Linked DNA regions of Macaca fascicularis. The protein of the gene in region 2 interacts with the protein of the main gene of each other region in a pairwise test. Links are inferred from orthologs where the notes say so. Each region holds a gene or a part of one and is shown on either strand. Other genes may lie near its edges.

Region 1 (4,435 bases), about 26 Mb from region 2:
TCAGTCTGGTTCATAGAATCAATAATAATTTTAAGGTAATAATAACATAATGACATAAAGCACTTGCTATTACCAGGCATTGTTCTCAGAGCTTTGCGTATATTACCTTGTTTATTCCTCCCAATTATCCTCTGAATTAGATGCTATTACTATCGCTGTTTTGAAGAAACAGAGGCACAGGTAAGTTAGTTAACATAGATGAGGATTACACAGGCAGAAAGTTGTTGTGGAGAAAGAATCTGAGCTGGGAATATGGTTTCAGAGTATATCCACTTAACCACACTGTACTGATTACACGTCAGAGCTGGGGGCTCAGGACCTGGAAGTTCCATTTTATGTATAATATATGTATTATTATCTATTATATAGAGAAATAATATTTCTAGATATTACATATATATTTCTATATATTATATATATAATATGTGTGTGTGTGTGTGTATATATATATCATATATATGTATCAGGCTGAACAATTGTGTCCCCTAAAAACTCATTTGTTGAACTCCTAACCCCCAAGGTGGGGTTTTTGGTAGGTGATTAGGTCATGACGACAGAACTCTCATAAATAGGATTACTGTCCTTATAAAAGAGACCCGAGAGAGCTTCCTCACCCCTATCACCAGGTAAGGACAAAATGAAAAGACAGGCATTCATGAAGGAGGGAGCAGGCCCTCACCAGACACTGAATCTGCTGGTTCCTTAATCTTGGATGCCCCAGCTTCCAGAACTGTGAGAAATACATTTCTATTGGTTGTAACTCACCAGTCTATGGTATTCTGGTACATCACCCTGAGGAGACTAAGAGAGTACATGTATATGTATGTGTATCTATATGCATGTGTGTTTGTGTGTGTATGTATATGGAGTTTTTACAGTCTGATATTAAATTGGTTTGACTTCCAAGAGCAGAGAGACATTGAATAATGGGGAAAAGGAACCCCAAAGCCTTATTAATGATGATGTAAGTGATGTTTACCCAAAATAAAAAGTCCAAGGTGAACTTACCACAAGTGAATAATAAACAAGAAGACAACCACCTTGCCTACAAAACAATAATCCTGAGTACATAAATAATAAAACAGTTTTTGGATACTTCAACTTAAGAAGATAAAACTTTCCTTTATCCCAAAAGTTCATTTTATTTACCCTGAATTGTAAAAATAAGGACTTTAACTTATTTGGTGTACGTTCTAAGCCTTGGTACTGATTTAATTTTATCTTTACAGCAAAACGTTTTGCCTATATGGAAAGGGCAACAGGGGAGTTTGAGATTATTATAAACATAGAAGAAGCCAAAAATCCCAGTTTTGACTGGGAGTAGGCATTTTGAACCAAGTATGAAGATAACACAAACTCCTTTTTTACTTTGTCCTGATAAAATGAGATGTTTTGAAAATATAAGGTTATTGTTACCACTTGTGGAGGTTTTGTTCTACTATTAATAATTTTCCTAAAATGAAGGGACCTAAAATACATATCTACATCCTCCAAGCTTTCATCACTGTTTGTTTGGTGGTTTAGTCCTTTGCCATTTCTTCTCCTTCTAATGGCAGTGAACTGTTGGTAACCCTTTCTAAGATTTGTCAGATGTTTTTAGGAGGAACCAGTGAGTTCTTATGTTTGAACTCATCTTTATTTGCCAAAGAAGAGTAGAATGTACTCATTTATTACTGACCATGACAGTGCAAGAGGGGATGACATCATAGCTTAAAGTATTGCAGCAATATCAAAATATTGTATCAAAATATCAATATCAAAATATTGCATTATAAAGAGAAGTTTAGAAAAGTAAAAGCAAAATGTCTATATTATTGTATGCACATATTTACTTTATTGTTTATCTAAAATATGGTTTTTGTCTCATATTCTCCTACTTTCTTTTTCTCTCTCTTTCTTTCTTTTTCTCTCTCTTTCTTTCTTTCTTTCTTTCTTTCTTTCTTTCTTTCTTTCTTTCTTTCTTTCTTTCTTTCTTTCTTTCTTTCTTTCTTTCTTTTTCTCTTTAAAAATGTAAAAGCATTCTTATCTTAGTGGTCATACAAAAAGAGACTAAGGATTGGGCTTGGCCAAAGGAAAATGGTTTGCCAACCTCTTCGATTTAGAATCTAAATCAAGAGATAGTTGTGATTGATTATCAATTTTCTTAATCTTTGATACATTTTTAGATGAACAATTTATTTGTAACTACATTTAGCCTTACCAGCCAATGTTTTCTAACCTGGTACCACCACAGTATCTCTAGCTTAAAATAAAATTCTAAAGAAAGCAGCAACTTACTAGCATTCTTTCCAGTGTCACTTCTTTCTTGAGCTGGTCAACTTCCATCTTCAATTTGTCCTTTTCTGTCAGGTCCTCAATATTGATTACTGGCATCTTTTTGCCTGCTGAAGGTGTAGAAGGTTAGCACCTACACATGAATTGCTGCAGTTATTTCAAATCAGTCTTAGCCAACAATTCCCTCAGCTCTTAACTTACAAAGTAAACTCTTCTTTGTTTTATTTTAAATATCCCACGACAACCAATTTCACATGAGCTCTCTCTCTTAACAATTGTAGCAATGCACACTAGTCTTGGGAATTTAAAGCTTCTTCCTAATCTTCACTAATATGATTAAGTCAAGCATTTGACCCTAAACACCTGTCAACAGGTTTGTTGGGAGGGGTGAGTTTAGTCAGTATATAATCTAAAATACTTAAAGCTGCTTCTTGCCCCTGGTCTTTCGTACAGTGTAAAATTTGGGGTTTCCAATCCTTACTGTCAATTCCAAAACCCTCCACCACATGTTTTATGTCATTTAACTTAGTTTGAGGTCATTTGGAGGACGGGCCATTAATTCCCTAAATCTCTAGAGTATTTAACCTGGTATTAAAAGGGAACCATATAAAAAGTATCACTATAAGTTCATTATAAATAATGGATTGTTTAAATGTGTACCTAGTAAACAGTGTTTGTTTTTTTTTGTTTTTTTGTTTTGTTTTGTTTGAGATGGAGTCTCACTCTGTCACCCAGGCTGGAGTGCAGCGGCCTGATCTCAGCTCACTGCAAGCTCCGCCTCCCGGGTTTATGTCATTCTCCTGCCTCAGCCTCCCAAGTAGCTGGGACTACAGGAGACCGCCACCTCGCCCGGCTAGTTTTTTGTATTTTTTAGTAGAGACGGGGTTTCACCGTGTTAGCCAGTATGGTCTCAATCTCCTGACCTCGAGAGCCGCCAGTCTCAGCCTCTCAAAGTGCTGGGATTACAGGCTTGAGCCACCGTGCCCCTCCGTAAACAGTCTTCTTAATCAAAAATAAACTAGTGTATTACTTATAAGTGTTTTTCCAACAACACCTGGAATTTGCCTGTAACTGTCACAATGAATCTGGTAACAATGATGACCAAATTTAGCAGGTTAAGGGGACATGGCAGGTCTGATCTACCAATAAACATCCTACTAGAACAGACTTTTTCTTCCGCCCTCTTCGCAATTCCTCTTCTCCCCAATTAGACCAGTGAGTAATGGGGAAGAAGGCTCAACAGCTGGTGATAATGCTATGAAATTGAATAATGGGGAAAAGGAACCCCAAAGCCTTATTAATGATGATGTAAGTGATGTTTACCCAAAATAAAAAGTCCAAGGTGAACTTACCACAAGTGAAAAATAAACATGAAGACGACCACCTTGCCTACAAGACAATAATCCTGAGTACATAAATAATAAAACAGCTTTTAGATACTTCAACTTAAGAAGATAAAACTTTCCTTTATCCCAAGTGGCCAAGTGGCATTGTGCCTATAGTGTCTCCTCCTTCTCCCTAGTCCAATTTTTGTAATGAAGTATTATTATAAAAGTAAGTGTATTCATATTTCAGAGAACAACATAACATTGTACATCTACATGAAAATACTCTGCTAATAATATATCAGCAGTTAACCTATTTCCTTGTATTTAAATGATGTTTTCATTTCCAAAACCTTTGAAGAAAGATTGTTTCCCTTCCCAGTCTTAAAATATCCCGTTCTTCTCTGGATAAGTAGTAGTTTAAGATTTTTTTTTTTTTTTTTTTTTTTTTTTTTTTAGATGGAGTTTCACTGTGTCACCAGGCTGGAGTGAAGTGGCCCAATCTCGGCTCACTGCAACCTCTGCCTCCTGGGTTCTAGTGATTCTTCTGCCTCAGCCTACCGAGTAGCTGGGACTACAGTTACATGCCGCCACGCTCAGCTAACTTGTATTTTTAGTAGAGACGGAGTTTCACCATGTTGGCCAGGATGGTCTCGAGTTTAAGATAATTTTAAGGGAAAAATGTCTACCTAGACCAACATAGAGGTAGAAAATAACACACTATGGGTACCTGAGCCCAGTGATTCCTATGTTTTTATTTTTGCTATTCCGTTCTTTAAGAAACAATATGACTATACAAAGGTTATTTCTTCCTGTATAATCCTGTTTTGTATTTG
Region 2 (4,392 bases):
ATTAGGTATTTCTCCTAATGCTATCCCTCCCCCATCCCCCAACCCCACGACAGGGCCCGGTGTGTGGTGTTCCCCATCCTATGTCCAAGTGTTCTCATTGTTCAATTCCCATCTATGAGTGAGAACATGCGGTGTTTGGTTTTCTGTCCTTGCGACAGTTTGCTCAGAATGATGGTTTTCAGCTTCATCCGTGTCCCTACAAAGGTCATGAACTCATCCAAAAAGGTGTATGATTTTTACAGGGCAAGACATCCTTGATAACCTAAATCACTGCCTAACAAAAAAATATACTTTTAATGTAAATATTTACACCTAAAATTTATAACACACTTTGTTGGCTTTGAAAAGATTTTGGAAAAAGTAACAGAATAATACATAGGTTATTAAGCAGAAATTTTTTTTTTTTTTTTGTATTTTTAGTAGAGACGGGGTTTCACCATCTTGGCCAGGCTGGTCTTCAACTCCTGACCTCGTAATCCACCCGCGTCGGGCCTACTAAGCAGAATTTTTAATGACAATTTTATAAGAATGACATAAAAATATCAACCATTAATTTCTCCTATTGACTGCTACAAGACAATGAGAATACTGGGTAGTTCTCACCCAGGATGAGAAATTTTTTTATGTTATAGACACTGCAAATTCGCTACTACTCAACACTTTTGTTGAAAACAAACTGGAACCAAAAACTAAGCTTTCTATCAGTTACTTAATCCACTAGTCATTGAAACATTGGTCCTGGATTAATTATTTCCTCAAAGTTTGTGACAATATGGGGGAAAGAACACTCATATACTACAGGTGGCAATGTATGCTGAATATATTTTAAGAGTAAAGTCTGGCATCTATCAAAATTTTAAACTTGCATAACCTTTGATCCAGCAATTTTCCCCCAAAATATACACCCAGTGGGCAAGAATATATGTACATAAAGCTGTTCATTGCAACATTACTGAAAAACTAAAGTCCCACTACATGTTCATTTATAAGGGAATGGCTAAAGCATGGCACATTCATATTTTGGAATATGATGGGCACAGTCCTTAAAAAAAAAAAAGGAAACAAATGTACTGACGTGGAAGGGTTTCTATGATAGACTGCTGAAAGAAAAAAGAAGGTTGCAGATCTTTTAGTTTACCTAGATTTATCCTTTTTATTAAAAAAAATCAAACCGTACAGATGGGTGTCATATAAGTATAGGTTGGTTTAACAGAATACGGATTGTAGGATTAAAAGAAAAAAAAAGATTATGTTGGAAAGATTAGGTACCAAACTCTTACCACTTTATACTTGGGAAGTGGTACTGCGAGGTGAAGGAATTTTCATTTTTTTTACTTCACACACTTCTGAATGGTTTGAAATGTTTTAAAAACGTTTAAACGTTTAAAATTTAAAAATAAATACTTTTAAATACTTTACATTTTTGAAAGGCATACCCTTTTTTTTTTTTTTTTTTTTTTTTTGAGACAGAGTCTCGCTGTGTCTCCCAGGCTGGAACGCAGTGGCGCAATTGCGGCTCACTGTAACCTCCGCCTCCCGGGTTCAAGCGATTCTCCTGTCTCAGCCTCCCGAGTAGCTGGGACTACAGGCGTCCGCCACCATGCCCAGCTAATTTTTGTATTTTTATTAGAGACGGGGTTTCACCATATTGATCAGGCTGGCCTCGAATTCCTGACCTTGTGATCCGCCCGCCTCAGTCTCCCAAAGTGCTGGGATTACAGGCTTGAGCCACCGCGCCGGCCAGTTTTTTTTTTTTTTTTTTTTTTTTTTTTTTTTTTTTGAGACGTAGTCTCGCTCTGTCGTCCAGGCTGGAGCGCAGTGGCCGGATGCAAGCTCCGCCTCCCGGGTTCACGCCATTCTCCTGCCTCAGCCTCCCGAGTAGCTGGGACTACAGGCGCCCGCCACCTCGCCCTGTTTTTTGTATATTTTTAGTAGAGACGGGGTTTCACCGTGTTAGCCAGGATGGTCTCGATCTCCTGACCTCGTGATCCGCCCGTCTCGGCCTCCCAAAGTGCAGTTTTTAAAATAAGTTAGACTGTGAGATAAATTCACCAAAGAGTGTATCTTTTGATCTCAAACTCGTAGCCCTCTGGAACTTTGAGAATCTAGGAAAATTTAATAGTTTGTTACCATCCGATAGCCCAATATATAACCAACCCAATAATAAACCATTAGGGTGTTAAACTCAATATTTAACTCAGGAGACTACCAAAGATTTGTTTGGTAGGGGTACTAAAATAATTTCAGAGTAGGGAGTTCCACAGTTGGGAAGTGGGAAAAAACTGCACTTCATCTCTGTGCCGCTGAGGTAAATATTTAAGATGATATCAATTTAACTGTGAAAGCAAAAACAAATAAACCGAAAAACAAAGTCTCAACAGTCTGAGAACCATATTTAAGCCCCAAACCATGTTCATCAGAAAAAGATAACTTGTGCTAAATTACACACCAAGGCAAAAATGGGGTGGGGGGAATGGGGGAGCGATAGACTAAGGGTAAAAGAGTCTTAAACACAATCCCCCTGCAGCTTTCAAAATTTGGTTTATTATTCCTACAGTGGATCAGAGGACAACTTGAAAGTCAGGTACAGCCAAAGTTGTGATGATTTTCATAACCCTTTTCAAATGTTCTTTGAAGCCACGAGTGCGAATTATCTACCACTTTCCTTTTCTTTCTCTAAGGACCCAGAGACTGGGAAGATGTCTCAGGCTCCACATCCAAATCTGGAGAACACCCAGAGCAGTTAACTATCGACAGGGAGGTTGTGAGATACTTTCCCTTCAGAAGACACTTCACTCACAAACTGGGCAAATGTGTAGAGTGGATAGCACTGACCACCAGTCTGCGACTGGAAAGTCTACGGAAGCTAAATAAAACACATCTGCAAGGTCAAACCAAGCAAACCGAGGCAGTGTACTGGTGAGGAAAAAAAGAGCTGCTAATCCCAAAGTTATAAACACATGCGCGCGAACCAGACCTAAACCAAACCCACTCAGCAGCTAGCGCAAAGCTGGGAGCTCCAAACTAGAAGACAAACGCTCAGGGAGCTTCCCCGGCGGAGGGGAAGGCCATTCCAAGGCATTTTCTCCGCCCTCCCCGGGCAGCCCCAACCAAGTAGCCGCCCCCGGCTCCACCCCATCCCTCTGGGCCACCACCCGTGGGGCCCCGTTGAACCCAGGCGGCCCAGAGCTAAAGGGCTCCTAGGGTCAGACCAGAGGTCCGTTGCACTCCCGGTCATAGTGAAAGGAAGACACATCAGCCGCGCCTCCGGGGCACCGTACTCACCCCCATAACCTACACCCCCGACTGTGCTGCAGCTCCCATCACGGTCTTCCTCCATTCGGACGACAGCCCCCTGGGTCTTGGAAGCAGCCATTACCCGGCAGAGAAGAAAAGGGAGGGCCGCAGGGCGGGGCAGAGGCGGGGTGGCACCAATAGAAATGCGACTGGAGGTGAACTCCCCGTCGACGCTGTGTTTTCTCCACACCTACACCGCCCTCTGGGCCAATAGGACGTAATTAGTAAAACTGAATCCCCGCCTCGAACCGCAATTGCCTCTCCCACTTCCGGGATGGGGAAGCCCAGAACTACAATTCCCAGCGTGCCGCGGGGCCCCGGGACGGGAGGGCTGGACTAGGCGCTGGCGGGCGGGGGTGCGCCCGAGAGTGCCCCGGCGTGTTCGCTTAGTTCAGTGAATCAGAACAATGACTGCGCCGCCGGGTCCCCGGGAGCGCATCTGAGGACTGTGAGCAGCCGCCGCCGGGAGAGCTGCTGGCGGCGCAGTGTCAACGCTGGGCTCAGGAGCCTCCAGCGCAGATCCTGCCCAGCGCCCGCAGCCCGCGCGAAGCCCCCGGGCTCCGGCGCTGCAGCGCTGCTCGGGGACTGTGCATTGTTGTGAACCGGAGAAGGGGCGCGGGGATTACAAAGCCTCAAGACCCCGGAGCCCCTTTAGCCATGTGGATACCTACGGAGCACGAGAAATACGGCGTGGGTGAGTCTCCGCGGGGCGAACTTTTATTCTGCTCTGGCCCGAGCGAGTGCGCATTTCTCGTCCTTGCCCCCGCGCCCCTCTTGCTCCGCCCGGCTGAAAATGCCTAATCCTGGCATCGCGCAGCGGGTACGGGGCTTTGCCGAGCCAGCTCCAGGCAGAGGGCTGCGCACCAGGCTCTCGCCCCGCACCGCGGGCTCGGCGCGCCCCGCACAGATTCCCAGAGCGCCGGGACAGCTTGGGGGAGTGCGCGGCCGGCCCGCTCGCTTCGGGCTCTGCCTGCGGAGTTTGGAGTGGCAACTGGGCGTGTGTGTGTGTGTGTGTGTCTGTCTGTCTGTCTCTGTGTGTGTATGTGTGTGTCAAGTTGGAAGAGGAGGCGAACAGGGTTTCTCTCCTTCCTTACC

What was found. The genes of interacting proteins can lie anywhere in the genome.
Region 1: the proteins of ZNF277 (region 2) and GNGT1 interact in a two-hybrid assay, tested with the Homo sapiens proteins (3 studies listed by BioGRID and IntAct). The two-hybrid records come from large-scale screens. The link is inferred for Macaca fascicularis from reciprocal best matches to the Homo sapiens genes ZNF277 and GNGT1.

Annotation. Positions count from the first base shown.
Region 1 is NC_088377.1:127,422,347-127,426,781, forward strand, and holds the start of GNGT1 (guanine nucleotide-binding protein G(T) subunit gamma-T1), read right to left. Parts: upstream 2,554-4,435; 5' UTR 2,476-2,553; intron 2,385-2,475; exon of another isoform or gene 2,382-2,384; 5' UTR 2,374-2,381; coding exon 2,278-2,373; intron 1-2,277. UniProt on the Homo sapiens protein: Guanine nucleotide-binding proteins (G proteins) are involved as a modulator or transducer in various transmembrane signaling systems.
Region 2 is NC_088377.1:153,718,480-153,722,871, reverse strand, and holds the start of ZNF277 (zinc finger protein 277), read right to left. Parts: upstream 3,392-4,392; 5' UTR 3,377-3,391; coding exon 3,286-3,376; intron 1-3,285. Other genes in the region: DOCK4 (dedicator of cytokinesis protein 4), read left to right, coding at 3,955-3,991. UniProt on the Homo sapiens protein: Probable transcription factor. Involved in modulation of cellular senescence; represses transcription of the tumor suppressor gene INK4A/ARF, perhaps acting via the Polycomb group (PcG) complex PRC1.